3 linked regions of the Pelodiscus sinensis genome follow. The main gene of each other region encodes a partner of the protein of the gene in region 3 in a complex. Links are inferred from orthologs where the notes say so. Each region holds a gene or a part of one and is shown on either strand. Other genes may lie near its edges.

Region 1 (7,732 bases), about 75 Mb from region 3:
ACAATGGCAGGGCAGGGGGCGGAAGCGACCATGGGTAGGAATCATAGAATAAATCATAGAATAATAGGACTGGAAGGGACCTCGAGAGGTCATCGAGTCCAGCCCCCCGCCCTCAAGGCAGGAAGATGACTCCCCCATAGCCAGGTCTTTGGGTGTCCCAATGGGAAGAAGCAGAAATTCCACCCCAGTCAGTTTTGGCTGAGAGTCCATGGAAGGCGCCTAAACGCAATTATAAAGCACCTCAGGGCTTCTCTCCCCGCACCACAATGCAATTGAACAGCGCTCAGGAGCAGGGACAGGGCTTCTCCTCCTCCCCAGATGCAATCTGCTGAGGGCTCCCAGCACCAATTGTGCCCCACCAGGCTTCTGCATGCAACCAGATCACGGCTCCGCCTCCCAGCCTGGGACTCCCTCTGGTTGTGTGCAGAATCCTGGTGGGGGCTGGGGGAGTGGCCAGGACTCCCAGCCACTCCCCCCACCCCCGCCAGGCTTTTGCACGCGACCACAGGCTCCAAGCGCCGATCGCAGCCCCGCCTCCCAGCCACTCCCCCCGCCCCTGCCAGGCTTCCGTCCGGCGCCCAGCCAGAAAAACAGAAAATACCAGACATTGCACAGTCCAGTATTTTCTGAATTTTTTTTTACCAGACAGAGGGCACAAAAACCGGACTGTCTGGTAGAAAACCGGAAACCTGGCAACCCTAGGGGGATGGGATGGGAGGAGGAGTATTCCTGACAATTCACAGCCTGTAAGATCCCATGGCAGTAGTTCTCAACTCAGAGCCTGTGAGCCCTTTCAGGGAGACCGCAGCACCCTGAGGTTGAAACCTGGTGCCTTGTGCTACAGTGTCCCACAGGTGCAGCACAAGGCAGAAACCAGCCTCCCACTCCCCCGTCCTCACGTTAGCCACTCCAGCGCTCCTGCCCCCATTTAAACTGGGAACTACATTGGAAGCCCTCACCTCTGCCTGCACCCTTAGCTACCTCTCTGCCAAACCTATTCCCCTGCCTTCACCCTTAACTATCCCCATACCAGTACACAGCTCCTAGCTAACCCCAGCCTGCACCCTGAGCAGTTTTCAAAATTTCTGAGCTGAATTTCTCTCTCCCCCCACCTTCTCCCCACACACACTTTGAGTTATAATTTTGGTTGTTTCCTTCCACAACTCAGTGGCACTTCTTCCCTGGCTCCCCTGTGCAGAGCTGGCCCAACCACCAGCAGCCCTTATCCCCTCTCCAAAAAATTAAAACTATTCCTATGAGCAAGGGTCTTGCCCCTCAGCCCAGAGCCCCAAAGCTCTAGAGTTTTTATTAGGCATGTGAAAGTATAAATGTGTCCATGGTTAATTGATGAACCTGGGCTCATTGATTAACCTTCACAATCATACACAATCCCCCCCCCCCCACCCTCATGCTGCAGAGGGGGTGGGTGGGCAGGCACAAAGTCAGCATGTGTGGTGAGCCAGCTTAAAAGCCAGCTCCCTCCCACCCCGGCATGTGAATGCGTAACAGATGACATTTTCAATAAATACATTTTAACATCCTCAGTTTTTATAGCATGTTCAGGGGAGCCTTAACAAGAAAAAGGTTGACAGCTTCTGTCCCATGATATATCCCCTATACTTATAGAGAGTTATGTCTGTGTGTGAGATAAATGGGAATTTGGGTGATTTAACATTCACCTACTTCTGTTCCACTCTAGCTTCATTTAGCTATAGTAACATTCATCTCCTGTCCTAAGTTCTCCTTTAACGTTACTGTGTGCTGTTGAACAACTGGCTTACTCCACTTCAGATAACTGCCCTTCAGCAGTGGACAAAGTGTTTTTTTTTAATAATCAGGTGCTGTGCGGAGGTTCTCTATATAAAATTTGTTTGTATTACAGAAAGACCCAGAGATAGAGTTACAGTGTGGAGAGCCCTGCAAATCCACAGCTATCCGCTTTATAGCCACAGGTATCCACATCCACAAATGTGGATATCCGTGGCTCATTTTTGCAGATGTAGATGCGGATACAAATTTTGTATCAGCACAGAGAGCTCTAATGATGTGTGCTACACAACCTTCAGTAAACAGTCCCTGTCCCAAAGAGCTTATAGCCTCCTTTTATATTGCATATTAAATAAGACTGAGACACAGCCCCCTCATTCCACCAGCAAAAGAACTGCTTCTAGAAACCCTGGTTTGCATTCTTTAGTGACAAGTTGGTTCAAAGACGAAAAAAACCAGGCAGATACGAGAGGTGCAGGAAAACACGGGATGCTAAGCCCAACAAACAAGGCTTTCTCTGGGGCACCCCTGTTCTAAAGGGTGTCTTTGAGGCAAGCTAAGTGCCCCACTAGGGCCGCCTCCCTCAGCCTGCCCCTGCTGTACGCCCCGCACGCATCCAACCCCACTTCCAGCTCCGGACAGGCAAGCCCGGGGGCTAATCTCTGCAGCCCCTAGCTAAGTACAAACAGGCTACAAGACGCAGGGAGTTTGCATCCGTTTCCCACGCTAGGGGTAGCGCGGGGCCGCTCCGCTGCAGAGAGCATCTGCGCAGGGCGGGCGGGTCACTCGGAGGAAGAGGGGCGAGCGGGCGCAGTGACCAGCAGGAGGCTGAGCCAAACAGAAGAGGCAGGGGCAGCCGCAAAGGCGGCGTTGCCTAGGGTGGCGCAGGCCCGGGAGCAGGGTCCCAGCCGGGCAGGAGGCAAGAGGCGCTGGGGAGGGCTCGGCCCGGCACACGTGGGGCTGAGCGAGGGAGAGGCGGCGCTGGAGGCTGCAGCGGGGGACGGGGCTCGGGGGGCGGGAGACACACCCCGCTCCCCAGTGCCGGGGGGAAGGAGAGTGGGGGAGCGCGCCCCGCCCCTCCCGGTCGCAGCCTCTCACCTGCAGCGCTGCTCCCCTGGCTGAGCACGAGCTGGGACAGAGCCGCCGCTCGCAGCGCCCAGGCCACCAGCGGCCCCATTGTGCAGCCCGGCGGACAGCTGCCGCTGCCCCCCCCCCCCGCACTGCGCCTGCGCGCGGCGAGCCGGCCCCTCTGCGTTCCATCAGGCCGATAGCTGATTCAGAAGAAAAAAAAAATGTAGAAGGGCGGGAGGAAGAAGCGCCCTGCACAAAGATGGCCGCCACCGCAGGGGAGAAAGGGACACGGTGCCCCGCACAAAGATGGTCGCCGCTATAGTCAATTCCACATCCGGGACCGACTCGCTTTACCTGATGGGAGTTGTAGTGCCCGAGTTGGCACATCACAGCTCAGTATATGGAGCACAGCCCCTCCCTGCCCAGGAGCAACTGTGGGGTGGCCCCAGCCCTGAGGCCCCTGGGCTGCTCACCAAGCCAGCTGGTCTGGCTGTCGACACTAGGAATGTGAACACCACCAGTGGGGTGAGTAGGAGGTGCGGTGAGCCATTGAGCCCAGCTCTAAACCCTGTGGGATAGAAATAACTTCAAGCCAGGGGGTGCAGCAGCCAGGGCTGAGTGGGTCTCTTGCTAGAAGCTGGGTCTCAGCACTCCCTGGCCAGAGCATTAGTGCTACCATTGCTGGAATAATGCTATCAGTAATTGGAAAAGGAAGTTGATAAATCAGAAAACGTTCAGAGACGAGCTACAAGAATGATGAAAGGATTTAAAACCTGCTTGATAGTGACTCTGAAAGCTCAATCAATGTAGCTTAAAAAAGAGATGGTTAAGGGGCAATACACCCGGACTAAATGGCATTCACCCAAGATTTCCAAAAGAACTCAAATGTGAAATTGTGGAACTATTAACTGTGGTTGGTAATCTGTCGTTTAATCAGCTTCTGTACCTAATGACTGGAAGATAGCTAATGTGATGCCAATATTTAAAAAGGGCTCTAAAGGTGATTCTGGTAATTACAGACCAGTAAGTCTAACATCAGTACCGGGCAAATTAGTTGAAGCTATGGTCAGGAATTAAATTGTCAGACTGATGTTGGGAGAAAGTCAACATGGTTTCTGTAAAGGAAAATCACGCCTTACAAATCTACAAGAGTGCTTTGAGGGGAGTCAACAAACCTTTGGACAAGGGGGAACCAGTGGATATAGTGGATTTAGATTTTAGAAAGCTTTTGACAAGGTCCCTCACCAAAGGCTCTTAAGTCACGGAAGTTGTCATGGGATCAGAGGGAAGGTACTCTCATGGACTGATTACTACTTAAAAGACAGGATACAAAGTTTTCAGAATGGAGAGAGGTAACTAGCGGTGTTCCCCAACGGTCCGTACTGGGACAAATCCTATTCAACCTATTTATAAATGATCTGGGGAAAGGGGTAAACAGTGAAGTGGCAAAATTTGCAAATGATACTAAACTGCTCAGGATAGTTAAGACCAAAGCAGACTGTGAACAGCTTCAAAAAGATCTCACCAAACTATGTGATTGGGCAACAAAATGGCACATGAAAGGTAACATTGATAAATGTAGAGGAATGCATGCTGGAAAAATAATCTCGACTATACATGCAAAAGGATGGGTACTAATTTAACTATAACCCCTCAAGAGCGAGATCTTGGAGTCATTATGGAGAGTCCTCTGAAAACATCCACTTAATGGGCAGCAGCAGCAGTTCAAAAAGCAAAAAGAATGTTAGAAATCATTTAAAAAGGATAGAGAATAAGACTCTTATCTTATTGTGCCTATATAAAACGATGGTACACCCGCATCTTGAATACTGTATACAGATATGGTGGCCTCATCTCAAAAAAGGCATATTTGCAGTGGAAAAGTTTCAGAAACAGGCAACAAAAATGATGAGGGGTTTGGAATAGGTTCCATATGAAGAGAGATTAAAAAGCCTGGGACTTTTTAGCTTAGAGAAACAGGAGACGAAGGGAGGATATGATAGAGGTCTGTAAAATCATGACTTGCGTGGAAAAAAGTGAATAAGGAAAAGTTATTTACTTGTTCCCAGAACGCAAGAACTAGAGGTCCCCAAATGAAATTAATAGGTAGCAGGTTTAAAACAAACAAAAAGAAGTTTTTCTTCATGCAGCACACAGACAACTTGTGGAACTCCTTGCCAGGGGATTTTGTGAAGACCAGGACTTGAACAGGGTTAAAAAAAGAACTAGATAAATTCATGGAGGTTAGGTCCATCAATGGCCAGGATAGGTAGGAATGGTGTCCCTAGCCTCTGTTTGTCAGTAAGTGCCTGGAAATGGATGACAGGAAAGAGATCATTTGAAGATTTCCTGTTCTGTCCACTCCCTGTGAGGCATCTGGCATTGGCCACTCTCGGAAGACAGGATACTGGGCTAGATGGACCTTTGGTCTGATCCTGGATGGCTGTTCCTATGTTTTTATGACTCATTCAGTCTATAGGGCATGATACACAGCAGGGCTAAATCTGAAATAAGCTACGCAACTTCAGCAATGTCTATTGTGTAGCCTAAGCCAAAATAGCTTATTTTGGCTATTGATGCTATCTACACAGCAAGAAGTCTGAGGCAGAGCACTCTTCCTCTGACTTCTTTTATGCCTCATAAAATAAGGGTTACAGGAGTCAGCATAAGTAGTCCTCCAGTTCGCCATTATTTCAACATTATTATAGTTTAGATGCGGACTATGTTATTTTGGAATAACATCAGTTATTCTGAAATAACACTATTGTGTAGATGTACCCTAAGTACCCATATGAGGAGCACAAACTTGATAATGGATATGACTTAGGGTACCTCTAGACTGGGGTGTTTTTCCAGGATACCAGAACAAATAGGATAATCATATTCAGCAAATCATAACCTTTTCAATGATACCTCACATGGCCTATACTGAATAAAATACATCATAATTATGCCATAAGCATATCATAATAATATCTCGGTGTTCTCTAGCTTGTGTTATGTAGGAGGTCAGACTAGATGATCACATTGGTCCTTTCTGGTCTTAGGTCTTGACTTCATGTACAGTGCGGCAGTGGAACAGCTAGGCCACTGTATCACTTTACTGAAGATGCTACTATGCCGACAGGAAAGCTTGGAAGGAGGTGAGCTGTCCTGGGGGTCTTGTCTGAAAATTATAGGTACAGACAACAAGCTTTTTCTTTATTTTCCTTTTGCTTTGTAATTCCCCCCTCCCCCCCCCCAAAAAAAACCCGGGCATCTCTGACACTGATCTCATCTGATTTCTAAGAAACTACAGAGAAGCTGAGAGAGAAGGCAGAATCAGTAATGCCCTGAACAAGCACTTAATATGTCATCCTGGAAAAGCTTAGAGAGAGAGAGCTTTGGGGCCAGTTGCTGGCTAAAAGAAATATAGGACTGCGAGGCTCTCCTGATGTTTGGCTCATCTTGTGTTCAGGGAAACAGAACATTGTACATTCTCTATAAACAAACAAGATTGCATTAAAGATACCTGGACCCATTGCAGATTTCTCTTCCAAATGGGAACACCTGTAGGGCCCAAATTGTGACTAGCTTCTTAGGTCAAAAGTGGTAACACTACCTATAGTGAGAAATTGGAAAATCCAAGGCATTTCTCATATGCTGGTCCCAAACTCTTCTTACCCCATATTAGCCTCCCCCCCCAAAAAAGAGGAAAATATCAGCTCCTTTCAGTGGTGGTTGTCAGAAGCAGCCTTATTGCTTTCTGCATAAACAGAATCTATTGTTCTGTTCCTGTTCTAAGGGTACAATGCTGCATCTGTGCAAGTGATATGAATAGTTCTAAAATTAAGAACATAAGAATGATCATACTAGGTCTGACCAAAGCTCCACCTAGCCCAGTGTCCTGTCTACCAACAGTAGCCGATGCCAGTTGCTTCAAAGGGAATGAACTGATTAAGGCAACGGTCAAGTGATCCATCCCCTGTCATCCAGTCTCAGCATCCAGAACAGAAGCTAGCATCTCTGACCATCTTGGCTAATAGTCCTATTCTATCCTTATGAACCTATCTCATTCTTTTTAAAATCCTGTTATAGTTCTGGCTTTCACAACATACCCTGGCAATGAGCTCCACAGGTTGACTGTGCATTTTGTGAAGTATTTCTCTATATTTGTTTTATACCTGCTGCCTATAAATTGTGTTGGCTACTCTTGTAAATCTTACAAAAGCTTGAGTAAGTAACCATAACATGAATGCCTTACATCTTTGTAACTTGTGAAGTTGCCTTAGACCTCCTGTGTCACTCTGGGCCTTTCTACATACCTGATCCGCTATTACTATTACTGTAATAGTGTTGTTCTCTGCTTGTCTCCCATTTCAAGTTTCAGAACATATTTCCCCATTGGGGTCTCTGATACCCTACTCATTGTCCTGGGTCAATGTCAATTTTCTCTTTGTGGTTACCTCTTGTAGTTTGCATGCCAACCTGCTGCACAGCCAGTCGGATTGTAGTACTGTACAGCTGAAGATTATTATTTGCAGTGCTCTTTCTGAGGCAGACAGTAGGAGATGTAGCCAGCAGAAACGGTCAATAGCCACTAAGTCTTTCTAGGGCCCAGCTTATTTGATGTAAATTCACCTTCATGGTCAAGTTTGAGATGAAACTCCTGTGAACCTAGTAATTCTCTCTCTCTCTCTCTTTCCTTCCTTTCTTCTCTCTCTCCTGGTCTTCTGTAATGAAAGTACCCCGGGCCAGTGGTGTTTGCTTTTGGAATATGCAGCTTTGCTTAAGCTTGGAGCCTTCCCAAAGTGATTTGGCTAGGAGCTTAATCGGAATCCCTTCATTCTCATTTCAAACACCAAGCTTACTTCTCCTCACCTCCTCTCTTCAATTTCCCCCTAAGCCTGGAGCT
Region 2 (6,978 bases), on a different chromosome or scaffold from region 3:
CTTCAGATGACTGGAGTTTTTACCAGTCAAATGCTACCAGACCATTTATTAATTCTATAATCCATGAACTGAAGTAAGCTTAGGCAGTTAGATGGAGAGATTATTTTTTAAAGTTACCCAGCAAGGCTAAATAGCACTGAGCTACTTAACTAATGCATTAATCATTAAATTAGAATAAAATTAGTCATATCTATGAGATGTCTGCAACTACTTTCTCTCAGCATTAAAATGAGGGAATTGTTTTAACACAGTGTTTCTCAAACTGTGGGTCCCAACCCTCTGGAGGGTCGCAAGCAACTTAGAGGGAGGTCGCAAGCAACTGAGAGGGTGGTATCATGCAGCAGTGGTATCACAAGTTTGAGAACCCCTGTTTTAACAGATGAAACCTATGATTTTTTTTAAATGTAGTCTTCATGAAGGGCTCTAAACCGGTGCAAAATATTTTTGGCCAAATTTTCCAGTACCAGGTGGCCTGTATTGAAACCCCAGAGCCAGCATCTGATCCATACATTTCATTTCTACAATGAGCAGACTCAGAGACTGGAATCAGGTACACATACATTTGGAAGCAACCAAAACCCAAAATAGGGATCATAACTTTCCTAAAAGTTCCCATGTTTGGACTCTGTGCATTACATTAATAGATTCAAGATATTCAATCATTCTGCCAGCATGACTATACTTTTTCTGTCTTGATCTCAAATGTCTGTTTAAAATTGCCATTCATTATAATCCAGTGGACAGAAGGGCAGGGGTACAGGCACTCATACTTATAATTTTATCTACTTACCCAGATATTTCTACTGTATAGACATAGTTAGTTGGCTTGGGTTGCCACTGTAGTATTGTTTTGAAATTGATTGATGACCAAGTTATATTAACTGCTGTTGGCAGTTCTGAATTACCTTTAAAGACAGGAAAAAAAAGTTGTGATGAGTCACATTATATAGAGCTCTAGATTTATTACATTCCCTATTTAGCAGAAGTAAAATTTTTATTTATAATGGTTTGTGGGGAGAAAAAAAATCACAGACATCATATTCATTTTACTTCTGCTATGGAAAATTCTTTTTTTTATTGGCAAATGTGGGAAGAAAGTTCCTCTCCTCCCACTTGATGATCTAAATCTTTTGCAGTACAGCATAGTTGGCCCCAAATGTGCAGAAAGACCACTGGATGCATCTAGGAACTGTTCAGAATTTTGCTTGCTTCTGTTGTTTTACTACAGTTTAAGCCAACACACATATTTTATAATGAGCATGTAAAGACTTGAAAGAAATGTGAGATTTTGCATCATATTTGCCATTCATATATATTACATACAGTATAGGTAAAAATAATTTATAGTATAGAATCCAATAACTGAGTTTCCTGATTCTTATTCAGATGAATTCTCAACCATAGCAATTGCAGATCTGACTTACTTTTTTCTTATTTTAAAAAGCACACAGACAAGTAAACTGTGCACCAAATAACTGCAAAATTTCGTTTTATAAAAGCGAAAAAGTGCATGTATATTGTACACTTTAGTATTAATTTTCAACATTTCCAATCATAAATTTAATGAAGTCTAAATTCAGTTTAAAGAACTAGAAGTATGTGAAAAATCCTACAACACTAGTCAAAGCACAGGGAGTAGTGCATTAAAAGGTCATACGTTCCTCACACAACTATATTAAAATGGAAATAATTGTTTTAAAATTTTTATAATCTGTTTCCTTGTATGAATATCACTTGCTTCTGTAAGTATATAACTCATTTGATATGCTTTTAAAAAATATATATATATATATATAAAAATCAGAGCAGTCCAAGGTGGAGATATTGAAACGAGACTCCAAATAATTCCAGTAAAATGTTGGTGCTAACAGCACATCATTCTTAATAAATGTATTACCTGCCTTCTCTCCTTCGCTTTACCATTTAGTAACATAAAAGATCAGTCTCCAACCTACCCATAAACAACTATAACGCTGAAACTTAATTTTGAATCTAGAACTGTAGAAAAAGAGGCGCAAAATATGTAACTTTCCCTAGAAAGGGAAATGGGCAAACCCCCCTGGTGCTCTCATGGGCTCTGCTGTCGTCAGTCTAAGTTTCAGCAGAGCCCTGTTCATTCCATAGGTACTTCCTGGAGCCACGGGCTCCATTTGCGGCACGACCCCACCTCTACAGCTCCCAAGTCCAGCCAAACGTGCCAGCCCCGGTGGCGCTGGGAATTCTGACACACCGATGGCACCAGTCTCGCCCCTTCGGCCGCGGGGTTATGGCCCTCAAGCCAGCCACGGCTCTTGCGCCCAGGTGCAGCTCCCAGGGAGGGCTCCTGGATGTTGCCTTTTATCCTCGAAACCCCTCCTACAGCCTCGTTTCTCCGTCCGCCTGCCCGCGCTCGGGCCGGACATTGCCCCCAGGCTTTACCCCAACAGCATCCCCGCGGAAGCGGCGCGCCCCAGAAGTCTCTGTACCGCTCCCCTCCGCGGCGGGGCAGACTGGCCCGCGGGGCGCCCCGCTGGGCACTGCCCCCGGGCTCGGGGAGCGAGCCGCATCAGCTGAGCTGCTGGCCCGGCAGGGAGGGCGAAGGCACCGGGCGGCGCTGGGCAGCGACACTCACCTGCGCAGGGACCCAGCCGGGAGAGCAGCGCGGCCAGGAGCAGCGCCCGGCCCCAGGCTGCGAATAAGGCGTCCGAAGCGCTCGCCATCCCTCGCGTCGCGTCGAGTCCAGGTGCCTGCAGGGGACGGTCGCTGCCGCTGTCCGAGCGAAGTTTGTCAGGGAGGCGGGACTGACGCTCTTTATAGCCGGGTGGCGCAGACGGGGAGGGCTGGGGCTGAGTCACTGGCGGTGATTCAGTCCCGCGCCGAGGTGCGGAGCTCCCCGCCGCTCCCCTCGGCCAGGTGCCGGGGAACAGAACGAGCGAGCGAGCGGGGCCGGAGCGGTTTCACTTTTTGCCTATTCACCGGCAGAGAAGTGAAAAGCCCGGCTCCTGGCGGGGGAGAAGGGACACTCCTCCCCTGCCCCGCTCTTCCCTTCTCCCTCGCCTGGCGGAAGAGGGCGCCTTCCGGGGAGCTGCTGCGCAGCCTCTTCCCCTGCTCTAGACCGGCCAGCTGCCTGCCTCAAGCAGAGGGCTCGGTCCTCAGCAAGGCTGGGCTCGCAGGGGAACCTGTAGCCCGCGCTTCGGTGACCCCTCTTCGCCCAAGCACCTTCGTTCTAGAGAGGGGCACAGTCATCGTGGTTTAGCTCCTGCGCCCATCCTATGGGGTGGGGGGAGAGGGCAGAGATAGTGTTTGCGGCCTCAAAGAAAAGGGCAGGGGGAGAAAAGAGTTAATTTGAAGAGGCCTGTTTTTGCAGTCTTCTTTCTTCTAAAGAAAGAGTTCATCTGAAGAAGTGGGTTGTGCCCACGAAATCTCATGATACCACCTACATGTTTTATTAGTCTCTAAGATCTCTAAACTACAGGTTTTTTTGGAAAAAAGTTAAAAAAAAAACTGTACCTGCATCTAGACTACTGCAAGTCATCTTTCGGGCGCTATTGCATTAAAACAGCGCTTTTTCGAAAGAGAGCATCTAGACTCTCTTTCAAAAAAGTGAGCCGCTTTTTCGAAAAAGCTTGTTGTCTAGATGTTCTTTTTTGAAAGAGGCTATTTTGAAAGATACTTTCAAAAAAGCCTCTTTCGAAAGAGGCTTGCAGTCTAGACATAGCCTAAGGGTTTGTCTACACTTGCACTCTCTTTCAATAGAGGGATGCAAATGAAGACATTCGAAATTGCAAATGAAGCCAGGATTTAAATATCCCACACTTCATTTGCATAATTGCGTTATGGCGCTATTTCGAAATAGCGCTATTTCAAAATAACAGACGCAGTTACTTCAAGAGAAAATCCTTCTCTTGAAATAATTGGTAAACCTCACTGTATGAGGAATAAGGGTTATTTCGAGAGAAGGGTTTTCTCTCAAAGTAACCGCGTCTTAACAGCGTCTGTTATTTCGAAATAGCGCTATTTTGAAATAGCGCCATAACGCGACTATGCAAATGAAGTGCAGGATATTTAAATCCCGGCTTCATTTGCAATTTCAAATGTCTTCATTTGCATCCCTCTCTCAAAAGAGGGTGCAAGTGTAGACATACCCTTATATGGTGCTGCAAGACTATTCCTTGTTTTTTTAACTTTTTCTTTCTTCTAGTTAGTACCTGGATTCCAAGGTGGTAGAAATATCTTTCTTGTTATATTTTGGAGTGGCCAAACTTACTGACCCTGGGAGCTGCATATAATAGTGAGGCAGGGCACACCTGCTAGGGCTCAGGGCTGTGGACCCTCTCCCCATGGCAATGGGCAAAAGCCCCCACTCTACCAAACCAGTCTGGTCGGTGAAGGGGGGCAGGGAAAGATCTCCAGGAGCTGCGTTTTAACAGTAAAAGAGCTGCATGTTGCTGCAAAGCCACAGTTTGACGATCTCTGTCATATATCCTGTAGCTCATATCTGTATAAAGATCTGCTCCTCTTTCTTATATCCTCTTGTGATTAGAGTTACAAACCATGTTTGTAACTATAAAAAAATAATAGCCCTGTGGCATCTTAGAGACTAACAAAACGTGAGCATCTGATGAAGTGGATCTTGACCATGAAAACTCATGATACTATATGTTTTTGTTAGTTTCTAAAGTGCCACAGGTCTACTCACTGTTTTTGTGATTTTTGGTCCATTCAAACCCCAGACTCAAACATGCAGAAAGTATAAACTGCATTAAAATGAAACTGGAGAAAATGGTTTGCATGACATTATTCTGTGGCTGTGCACAACTTGGAATGAATTCATTATAGGGATGTACAGACGGTCCCTGAGTTGCGAACGGTTGAGTTACGACAGTTCACATTTATGACCAAAGCTCCCATAGAGCGGTTGTAAAGGCGGTCCCTGAGTTACGAACGCAACACGCGCTTACGAACAGTGCGGTTGCTATGTAACTCAATGGGGTCCAAGTTACAAACAAATCGAGTTATGGCCAAGTGTTCGGTCCGTAACTCGTTCGTAACTGGGGGAGAGGCTGTTAGCGACTAGTTGACTATCCGATAAGCAAAAGCTTATTGGATAGTTGACACACTAGTCAACTAGTCACTTCCCACCCCCCTTGCTGCCTCTATCAGAAAGAGGCAGCAAGGGGAGGGAACAGGAGAGGCCTCTGGAGGGAGCTGGCTTAAAAGCAGGTTCCCCCCAGTTCCAGCTCCATGGGAGGGGGCAGGGATGCAGCAGTGGCGTTCCACCTTTGAAATGTACAAGAGTCCCCCCCCATGGGTTCTTGTATATTTCAAAGGCAGAACTCCCTGCAGCATTTCCACATTTGAAATGTAGCAACAGCTGTGCAGACTCCTGCTACATTTCAAAGCGGAAGTACCCTTATCGACTAATCAAATAGTCAATGGAAATTCTATTGACTATTTGATTAGTTGATTAATCTAATTTTAACATCCCTAATTTGTTAGTGTGTACCAATGCCATCTATTGGAAATAATTTCTTGCCCAAATAAATTATCAGCAAAACTAGAGGAATTGTTTTTTGTTCAGCAAATTAGAAATGTGTAACTTTTGAAGGTGAATGTCTGTGCGTAAGTTCTGGAACTAAGGGTTCTGGAAATGCTTCTGCACCTACCCTCTGCCTTGAATGGGGGTTCCATTATCTGAAGAGTTCATGGTTTGGTTCAGAGGCTCTCAGCATTCCCGCTAGCAAATTGGTTCAGCATCCCTGTTTCTGTGCATACTCTCTTGCATTCCTGTGATGATAATGTGACATGGATCATTCGTCACCATAGTATTTGAATACGTCTCAAGTGTTTCTGGAGTTATTGTCATAATAATAACATTGTAAAGAAAGAACATATTATAGCAGTTTTAAAGGTGAGGTGCTGAGAAGATAAGTAACTAGCACAAAACTATGTAAGAAGTCTGTAGCCTTTTTACCAAAATCTTCTGAATCCCCATCTAGAGCCCTAACCACAAGCCCATCCATCTCCCCACTGCATTGCCCTGACTTCTTTTCTCTCCATCTCTTTCTTTATTAGGACTTCTTAGTCTCACTTAAAAAAATCAGAAATTCTTTAGGCTGCATGTGATTACTAGACACCCTGTTGCACTTTCCTCCCTGCATGCCACCTTCCAATAGTCTGCATGACCTTTTAGCCTGTGGTATTTCACTATTGTATATATTTGGTGATCTGAAAAGTGCCAACTAAATGTCAAATAGCAGCAACGCTATGTATAGAAAAAGCTATAAAATGAGAGGGGGTATGTGCATGTATATGTTGTGGCATGAAGCTGACTGTTCCTCTGGAATCAAAGTTGAATTTGACAAAGTCCAGTGCTTGGAGTCTGTAGGAGAAAGAGGGGAGAAAAAAGGATGGCAAGAAGAATGGGCAGGTCAGTATCTGTATGTTTACAAAACACATTAGTTTTAATTGCCATTTACTGGCAGGCTCAGCACATTAAATCTTTTAAAGCGTCAGTTCTGTTTTGTCATTTAAAAATAATATTTAAGGCCAAGCTAAATTCAACCCTTTGTTGCATCATGGTTCAGTATATGCCACACAATTTCTAATTTTTCTTCACTGCTTTAGATTAAATTTCAGTATTGTATGCCGTTATGCAGCTGCACTTTTCCAGCAGAAAGTTTTCATTCTTTATATAACAATCTTATTTTATATGTGGGATTAGATTGTCTTCTGCAGTAAATATTTTGATGACAAGATAATGACCTTGTGAATTCTGCAGTCTGTGTTTCTTCATTTAAAGAGAGCTTTATATGGAGAAATCTTTCCCCTTTGGTTACAGAGAAGAGCCATTTATGTAAAGCTTTTATGCTCTAGAATTTTATTTTCATTTTTATTTCCTTACAGTTTTTCTATAAAGAATTAAAAGTAAGAACATAAGAATGCTGACACTGGGTCATTCCAATGGTTTAGATTCCTCAGTATCCTTTCTTTGACAGT
Region 3 (7,615 bases):
AGGGCTGGAGCTGGAAGGGGTGAGCAGCTGGGTCGCTGAGCCACTTACTCTAGCTGCAGTGAGCAGAGCAACAATTGGCCCTGGGGTGGGGGTGCTGTGCAGGCAGGGAGAGCAGCCCTGGGCCCTACCCTGTGGGATAGGGTCTGGGGGTGCAATGCCAGCACATGGTGGGTTGGTGGAGGGGAGGCGTAGCACTCCCTGCTTTCAGTGCCTTCCCTGAGGGACAGCTCCCAGTCTCCTCAGCCAGGGCAGCTCCCCGCAGTGCCCTGCCCTCCCCCACGTGAGGGAAGCTCCCAGAACCACATCCCCCATCCTAGGGCTGCAGCTGGGGACAATGCTGGCTCAGCTTTGCCCAGCCACAAGGGACAAGAGAGCAGCCCAGCTCCCTGGGCTGATCCCACTGAGGCAGAGCTGGGACCCTAGAGCCTCCCAGATCTAGTGTCTGTCACAGGGTTTATTTATTGTAACAATCACTCCCATGTGGCAGCCAGATGCTGCTCTAGGGAATAAGTTAGCCAAGTGTGGAATGGAGGCTGCACCTTAGAATCATAGAATAATAGGACTGGAAGGGACCTCGAGGGGTCATCGAGTCCAGCCCCCCGCCCCCAAGGCAGGACCAAGCTCCGTCTACACCATCCCTGACAGATGTCTATCTAACCTGTTCTTAAATATCTCCAGAGAGGGAGATTCCACCACCTCCCTTGGCAATTTATTCCAATATTTGACCACCCTGACGGTTAGGAATTTTTTCCTAATGTCCAATCTAAACCTCCCCTGCTGCACTTTAAGCCCATTACTCCTTGTCCTGTCCTCAGAAACCAAGAGGAACAAAATTTTCTCCTTCCTCCTTGTGACACCCTTTTAGATATTTGAAAACCGCTATCATGTCCCCCCTTAATCTTCTTTTTTCCAAACTAAACAAGACCAGTTCATGAAGCCTGGCTTCATAGGTCATGTTCTTTAAACCTTTAATCATTTTTGTCGCTCTTCTCTGTACCCTTTCCAATTTCTCCACATCTTTCTTGAAATGTGGCGCCCAGAACTGGACACAATACTCCAGCTGAGGCCTAACTAGTGCAGAGTAGAGCGGCAGAATGACTTCACGAGTTTTGCTTACAACACACCTGTTGACACAACCTAGAATCATATTTGCTTTTTTTGCAACAGCATCACACTGTTGACTCATATTCAACTTGTGGTCCACTATGACCCCTAGATCCCTTTCCGCCATGCTCCTTCCTAGACAGTCGCTTCCCATCTTGTATGTATGGAACTGATTGTTCCTTCCTAAGTGGAGCACTTTGCATTTCTCTTTATTAAACCCCATCCTGTTTACCTCTGACCATTTCTCTAACTTGCTAAGGTCATTTTGAATTATGTCCCTATCCTCCAAAGAAGTTGCAACCCCACCCAGTTTGGTATCATCTGCAAACTTAATAAGCATACTCTCTATCCCAATATCTACATCATTGATGAAGATATTGAACAGTACGGGTCCCAAAACAGACCCTTGCGGAACTCCACTTGTTATCCCTTTCCAGCAGGATTTAGCACCGTTAACAACTCTCTGACTACGGTTATCCAGCCAATTATGCACCCACCTTATCGTGGCCCTATCTAAGTTATATTTGCGAGGGAGGGAGTTGGGCAGGCTGGCTAGGACCTAGCCGACTGGCACCTGGATGACACACTCCAGTGGTTCCAGTGCTCTCAGCAGGTGAGAGTGCACTGTGTGCGCAGACAGTGTGAGGTGGTGGTGGAGCAGCGGGTCCTTCATGGACAAGATGGCTGCCAGGTCTGCTTTTGCCCCACTCCTGCACCAGGCCAACCTGAGTGGCGTCTACCATCGCAATGACATTTATTAGCATTTATTAATGCTGGTAACTGATAATAAACTGATAATAAATAATGCAACTCAGTGATGTATTTCTGAATCTTGACATAGTAGACTGTAAAAAAAACAATCATTCTACGAGGTGAACAATGTCCTACCATATATTAATTAGTTGATTCTGAAGCCTAGTGATGACAATTTTACTTCTGAGCATTTTGACAGAAACATTCAACTGCTCTGGGATGGTGGGTAAAGCTGGGGATAGAAGATGGAGCTTGAGCAGAGTAGTCCCAAAATGTTTCCTCTCCAACATAATTCCCAATGGAAAATGAACAGTCTTCCATTTGGAGGTATCTCTGCCAGGCAGTGCCCAGCCACACTGATAGGAGGGGGGTTTGGAAGTTTACTCCACTCATACTTGTACTAGAGTATTTCTGTTCCTAGATTACCAGCCACCAAATTATCATTAACATATATATATTTAAAAACATAAAAGGGATTACTGTAGATGGCTTCCATGATAATTACGTCTGTATACGTATTTACTATAGTACACACAGTGCAATGTCTTTTTCTTATGCTCATATCAAGTTTCATCCTTTCATTTTGTTGAATACCGATATTTTTAATTTTTTGCAATTGCTTTCTTACTTCACTTGTCCTCATTAACTTACTGAAGGGAAGAGAATCTAAGGGCACCACCATTCTATAGCTAAAAAGGTATACGGAAATCTTCGTAGAATTGTATTTTTTTTATTGTTGATCAAGTCTTGGTGGGGAGGGGGGAAGGGTGTCACTCTGTGGATTGACTGAGCTCTATGATTACTAGTGCCCTTTGGTTCCCTGGGAGCGGATTCTGGTGCACATATTGAGATAACTTATTCATCTATGAGCCTAGCAGGAATTTTTCCCAATTGATACAGTAAGAGCATGAACACAATTGCCACCCAAAACAACGAGCTCATTAGAACACCTGAACAGACTTAGACACATTCATTAGGAATCGTTCTGTACAGCCATTGCTGTGGATGATCCAACACGCCTCAAGAATCATGTGATTAACAAAGCAATAAATAATGATCATTACAGCAGTTTCCTGAGACATACCTGTAGCCAGAAAAAGAGGTAGCAATAGCATAAAGCAGAGAAGCAAAACCACGTAGTTACTGGAAGCCATGATGAAACAGAAATGCCAGTGTCCCAATATCTTGCAGCCCTTGCTGAAATGTCAACATGGTGAAAGCTCTCTATTTCAAAGGCTTTGACCTGGAGGAGGAGTTGGGTAGTCATTAAACACAGAGAGCTAAACCCCATGCAAATAATTCTATTCGTGCAGAAACGTACCAACTAATCCCCTACATGGTCTTAAAAAACAGGCAAAAATCTTAGTTGAGAAGAATTCCCATTCATAGTGCCCAAAGGCTATACTGAACATTATGAATGTTGTAGTGTGTTCTTACTAACAGCACAGCATACTATTAAATGTGGACTATGAGTGCCAAATTACAGCCTGGATAGCATGCCATTACATTTTGTATGTCGCCACCCCCAATTCACAGATGAATCAGAACTCCAAGATTAGGTGATGGGGGGGAGGGAGGGTCAAGGTAAAGATCTGGAGTATCTTTGAAGGGGATCACATTATTGAGGTTTTCAAATGTATCATGTTGCTTTCCTTTGTGGTCCCCAGTGGGAACCCTGAACCACTGTCTGATTTTATATTGCGACACCAATTAACAAACAAGGAATACCAGGTTCCGCTTTGGACTCATTTTGCTGCAGTGAAGGAGCTGTGTACTTTATCACCATGGACTTCTACACAAAGGGCTTGCAGTGTATTGGAAAGAAAAGAATGGAGCAAAATTTCATTTAATTAATAATTGTAGTAGTTTGACCAAATTGACAGCTAAAGTTATATCTGGAATATAAGCATTCCTATGTATTCATGTCTATCAAGGGCTAATTGTATCAGAACACATAATTTACAACATTCTTAAGCAAAGATTTGACTAATATCAGCAAGGTTAGATGCAATGATTTATCAATGGGGATTGGAGCATTCCATAGGGCCTGGGGTATTTTCCAGTCAATTCTTCACTTCATTAGGTTAAAAGAAAGCAGCTGCTTTGTGCACATCAGAACAATGAAGGGAAGCACAATTTTTATACTATTGCCAGGCTTCATCATCATCATCTCCTCCCTGCTGAAGTCATAAGTGACTATCAAAGAATCAGTCTCTGTCACCTGAGAAATCAAAGAGTCCTGCCCATCTAGATGTATTATTTACACGGTTCTTGTAACTCACACTTTATGTGCGGTGATGTACATCCTTTTTGGACATCTGGTTTACAATATGGAAAAACTGACCTTTTGGGGCATCTTTTATTTATTGGACTCTGGCTAATTCCCAGAAAACTCATTTCCTGGAATTTTCAGAGGCTAATGGTGGGAACTGTTACAGGAAAGAGGGAAGGAGTATGACTGCTGGAGAACACAAGACACTATAACAATGAATGAGTCTCAAAATATTCCGCGCCTCTGCTATTGGAAATCCCCATTTGTACCTTGGCTTATCCTCACCTAACCCTAAACCCACCCCCACCTTGCCCTCTCCTTTAGCTTGGAGCTAGCTGGGGGATGGGGGACTGTGATAGGCATTCAGAGGAAAAACCACCTGGAGAAGTGATGATCTGCAGAGAAATGAGGCTACTGGCAGAAGCAAGGCAAGTGAAGAGTAGGAAATGGGGTGGGAAGCTCTGCTACTCAGCAGGGAGGTTTCTGGGGGATCTTGGGGTGAATAGACAAGGTGGGAGGGGTCCTGTATTCAAGGAAAGAGACAAGGGGATGAGGGGAGGAGGACAAACTGGGAAGGAAATCTGTCTCCACTGACCATGGGGAAGGGGATAGGAGCAGAGACTGCAACTATGGCTACATCAAGACGACACGCCTTTTTCGAAAGAGGCTTTTTTGAAAGATACTTTTGAAAAAGCCTCTTTCGAAAAAGAGCATCTAGACTACAACCAGTACTTTCAAAAAAGCAAGCCGCAGTCTGGATGCTCTCTTTCAAAAAAGCACAGTTTGCATTACATAGTGCCTATTTTGAAAGAACACTTTCAAAAAAAGGCATTATTCCTTGTAAAACGAGGTTTTTTGCAGTCCACAAAACTGCTGTGTTTTGATTTACTGTTGACAGAACGTGGCAGCAGTCTAGACACAGGTAAAGTTTTTTCAAAAAATTCCTAGACACACCCATACATTTTTTGTTTGCAGCTCTGAGTGAGGAACAGCAAGACAATACTGTAGCTTTTCAAAGAGTTCAGATAAGAATATATTTGTCAGAGCCACACTGCAATTTTTCTTATCTTATCTTCTTAGAACAGAAAAGCCACTGTCCTGTCTGAGGGAGTCTCTTCCTGTTATGCAAGTGAGAGCATAGGGCCACGTGTCTGACATTTCTTTATCTACCACCACATTCAGTGGCTTTTTTTTTAAACTTCTTTGACTCACCCTATACAAGGGATGGCACTTACACACACACAAAAAAACCCTTTGGATAAGAATTTATTACTATGTCTGGAGCGCTTGCTTGGTGCCACGTTTAGTCTTGTTCCTAAATCTCCGTAAGGGGCCAGCTGGAAGAAAAGACAGATGTTTGGATACATGGCAGACGCCTAACACTTTTACTTTTAAAAAAACCTAGCTTCAGCAACAAGCATTTCCATGTACTTGTGTTCTAAGACTATGGATTTCCATCTACTTTATTTGACTTCTAAATCAGATTTTGTTCCCAAACCCTCCTAATTACATCAATCATACAATGGTATTACACTGCTGTTGTACATTCTGTGTGATTCATATGACATTTTACATTTCCGCCCTCTCATTTTATTGGTATCTCAAACCTGTGAGGTTCTGATTTAACAGTTTGTTTGTGATTGCAATACAAATATTATGGAAGGGAAGCCCCAGGAGTGAGAATCTAGGAAATATACGAGTCATGTAGTGAAACACTTCATTCAAAGAAATACTGGTGTAATTAGGCTGAGGGGTGATGACACTGGTAGGCATCACTAGAAGAGCAAGTATTAAAAAGAGCACCAATGAAGTTTCCCATGGGACTTTCCTCCTAATTAGCTTCAGAGTCACAGACTCCTTTCCTAAGTTGTTGCCTAGCCAGCCCTGGCAACAAAGCCAGCCCTGGCAACTTACCTTGAAGAGCTGCATTACTTACAGTATAAATTATTTTCCCTCTTTTTAGGACCTGGGCCAGCAGCATCCAAACCAACCCCTCTGCGTTTTCTGTTTCAGAGAATTCCTAATCCCAAGTGTTCACCCCTCTTTTTAGTGACTAAGTGCATCTAGACCTAAAAGCATGTCCACATTGAGTGGACCCTGAACCGAGGTTAAGGATGGCCGGAAGCAGTGCCGGCAGGGCATCAGATTAGGACTTAGAGTGTGGAGCTGCTGTCTCAGGCTAGCCGAGGGCTGTGCTTAAAGGTCCCGACCCCCACCCAGGACAGACAGTTCTCAGGGGTTCCCCGCTTGCAAAGCAGTCCTGGCTTGGAGTGCCCTGAGTGCCCACACACGGCACATCACAGCACTCAGCCATCAGCCTGGCTGCACTTGCCGCAGGCTGCCATCCGGGAGGGGTCAATCGGGGGGCTGCAGGAGAGTTTCCACCCCGAGGAGCCCACAGAGCCACCCCAGTCCTCCTCATCGGGGGCTCGTACCCCATTCCTCCCTCACCTCCTTCCACTTAACTATCCCTAGCCCCCCTTCCTGATGTACAAATTAAAGGACACGTGTGGTCAAAAGTAGAAACTCTCTTTATTGAACAAAACTGGGGGAGACTGGGAAAAGGAGGTGGGAGAGGGGAAGAGAGAGGCTGGGAGAGGGGAGGGCAACCAAAATGATCAGGGGTTTGGAACAGGTCCCATATGAAGAGAAGCTAAAGAGACTGGTACTTCTCAGCTTAGAAAAGAGGAGACTGAGGGGGGATATGATAGAGGTCTGTAAAAGCATGAGTGGTGTGGAGAGGGTGCATCAAGAAAAGTTCTTCATTAGTTCCCATAATAGAAGGACTAGAGGACACCAAATGAAATGAATGGGTAGCAGGCTTCAAACTAATAACAGAAAGTTCTTCTTCACAAAGCAAATAGTCAACCTGTGGAACTCCTTGCTGCAGGAGGCTCTGAAGGCTAGAACTATAATAGAGTTTAAAGAGAAGTTAGATAAAGTCATGGAGGTTGGCTCCATGTAGTGGTATTAGCCAGGGGGTAGAAATGGTGTCCCTGGCCTCTGTTTGTGGAAGGCTGGAGATGGATGGCACGAGACAAATGGCTTGGTCATTGTCTTCGGTCCATCCCCTCCAGGGTACCTAGTGTTGGCCACTGTTGGCAAACAGGCTACTGGGCTAGATGGACCTTTGTTCTGACCCAGTACGGCCGTTCTAAGCTCAGGGCTCAGGGTCGGGGGTCTCACTGGACCACCCTGATTTTCATGCAAACCTGCTCCTGGGTGGCCAGGCTGGCAGCTATCCTGCCCTAGATGGCCACTTTCCTGTGCCTAGTGCGGATGTCGTGGATGAGGTCCACGATGTCCGCACTAGACCAGGTGGGCGCCCGCCTCTTGCGGACCCGGGCAGGCTGGGTGGGACCCGGGCAGGAAGAGGCGGAGGGCTGGGTGGCAGCGGATGGCTTGTTCGTGCCGTGCCAGGTGCAAGGTCACCGTAGCCAGCCCATGCCCCTTTAAGGGCTCCGGGGCCGGGAGGGGGGCAGAAGA

What was found.
Region 1: the proteins of F7 (region 3) and POGLUT1 are in contact, whole or in part, in a crystal structure (PDB 5L0S), measured with the Homo sapiens proteins. The link is inferred for Pelodiscus sinensis from reciprocal best matches to the Homo sapiens genes F7 and POGLUT1. Residues at the interface, in NP_000122.1 of Homo sapiens: Asp108, Gln109, Cys110, Ala111, Ser112, Ser113, Pro114, Cys115, Gln116, Asn117, Gly118, Gly119, Cys121, Gln126, Ser127, Tyr128, Arg139, Asn140; in NP_689518.1 of Homo sapiens: Met103, Phe104, Pro105, Ser106, Arg107, Arg132, Asp133, Pro171, Ala172, Trp174, Pro178, Thr179, Thr214, Asn239, Gln240, Ala241, Val274.
Region 2: the proteins of F7 (region 3) and F3 are in contact, whole or in part, in a crystal structure (PDB 6R2W), measured with the Homo sapiens proteins. The link is inferred for Pelodiscus sinensis from reciprocal best matches to the Homo sapiens genes F7 and F3. Residues at the interface, in NP_000122.1 of Homo sapiens: Leu73, Lys78, Phe91, Arg96, Leu99, Phe100, Ser103, Ser120, Lys122, Gln124, Leu125, Ile129, Cys130, Phe131, Cys132, Leu133, Pro134, Phe136, Glu137, Gly138, Arg139, Lys145, Gln148, Ile150, Val152, Asn153, Glu154; in NP_001984.1 of Homo sapiens: Thr49, Asn50, Lys52, Ile54, Glu56, Trp77, Lys78, Ser79, Lys80, Phe82, Tyr83, Glu88, Asp90, Asp93, Gly141, Gln142, Thr144, Glu162, Arg163, Thr164, Leu165, Arg167, Phe172, Tyr188, Trp190, Lys191, Ser192, Ser194, Ser195, Gly196.

What each region holds. Positions count from the first base shown.
Region 1 is NC_134711.1:163,011,481-163,019,212, forward strand, and holds the start of POGLUT1 (protein O-glucosyltransferase 1), read right to left. Parts: upstream 3,050-7,732; 5' UTR 2,945-3,049; coding exon 2,866-2,944; intron 1-2,865. UniProt on the Homo sapiens protein: Dual specificity glycosyltransferase that catalyzes the transfer of glucose and xylose from UDP-glucose and UDP-xylose, respectively, to a serine residue found in the consensus sequence of C-X-S-X-P-C.
Region 2 is NC_134719.1:35,724,842-35,731,819, forward strand, and holds the start of F3 (tissue factor), read right to left. Parts: upstream 3,038-6,978; 5' UTR 2,700-3,037; coding exon 2,612-2,699; intron 906-2,611; coding exon 791-905; intron 1-790. UniProt on the Homo sapiens protein: Initiates blood coagulation by forming a complex with circulating factor VII or VIIa. The [TF:VIIa] complex activates factors IX or X by specific limited proteolysis.
Region 3 is NC_134711.1:237,607,429-237,615,043, forward strand, and holds the start of F7 (coagulation factor VII), read right to left. Parts: upstream 3,101-7,615; 5' UTR 3,012-3,100; coding exon 2,942-3,011; intron 1-2,941. UniProt on the Homo sapiens protein: Initiates the extrinsic pathway of blood coagulation. Serine protease that circulates in the blood in a zymogen form. Factor VII is converted to factor VIIa by factor Xa, factor XIIa, factor IXa, or thrombin by minor proteolysis.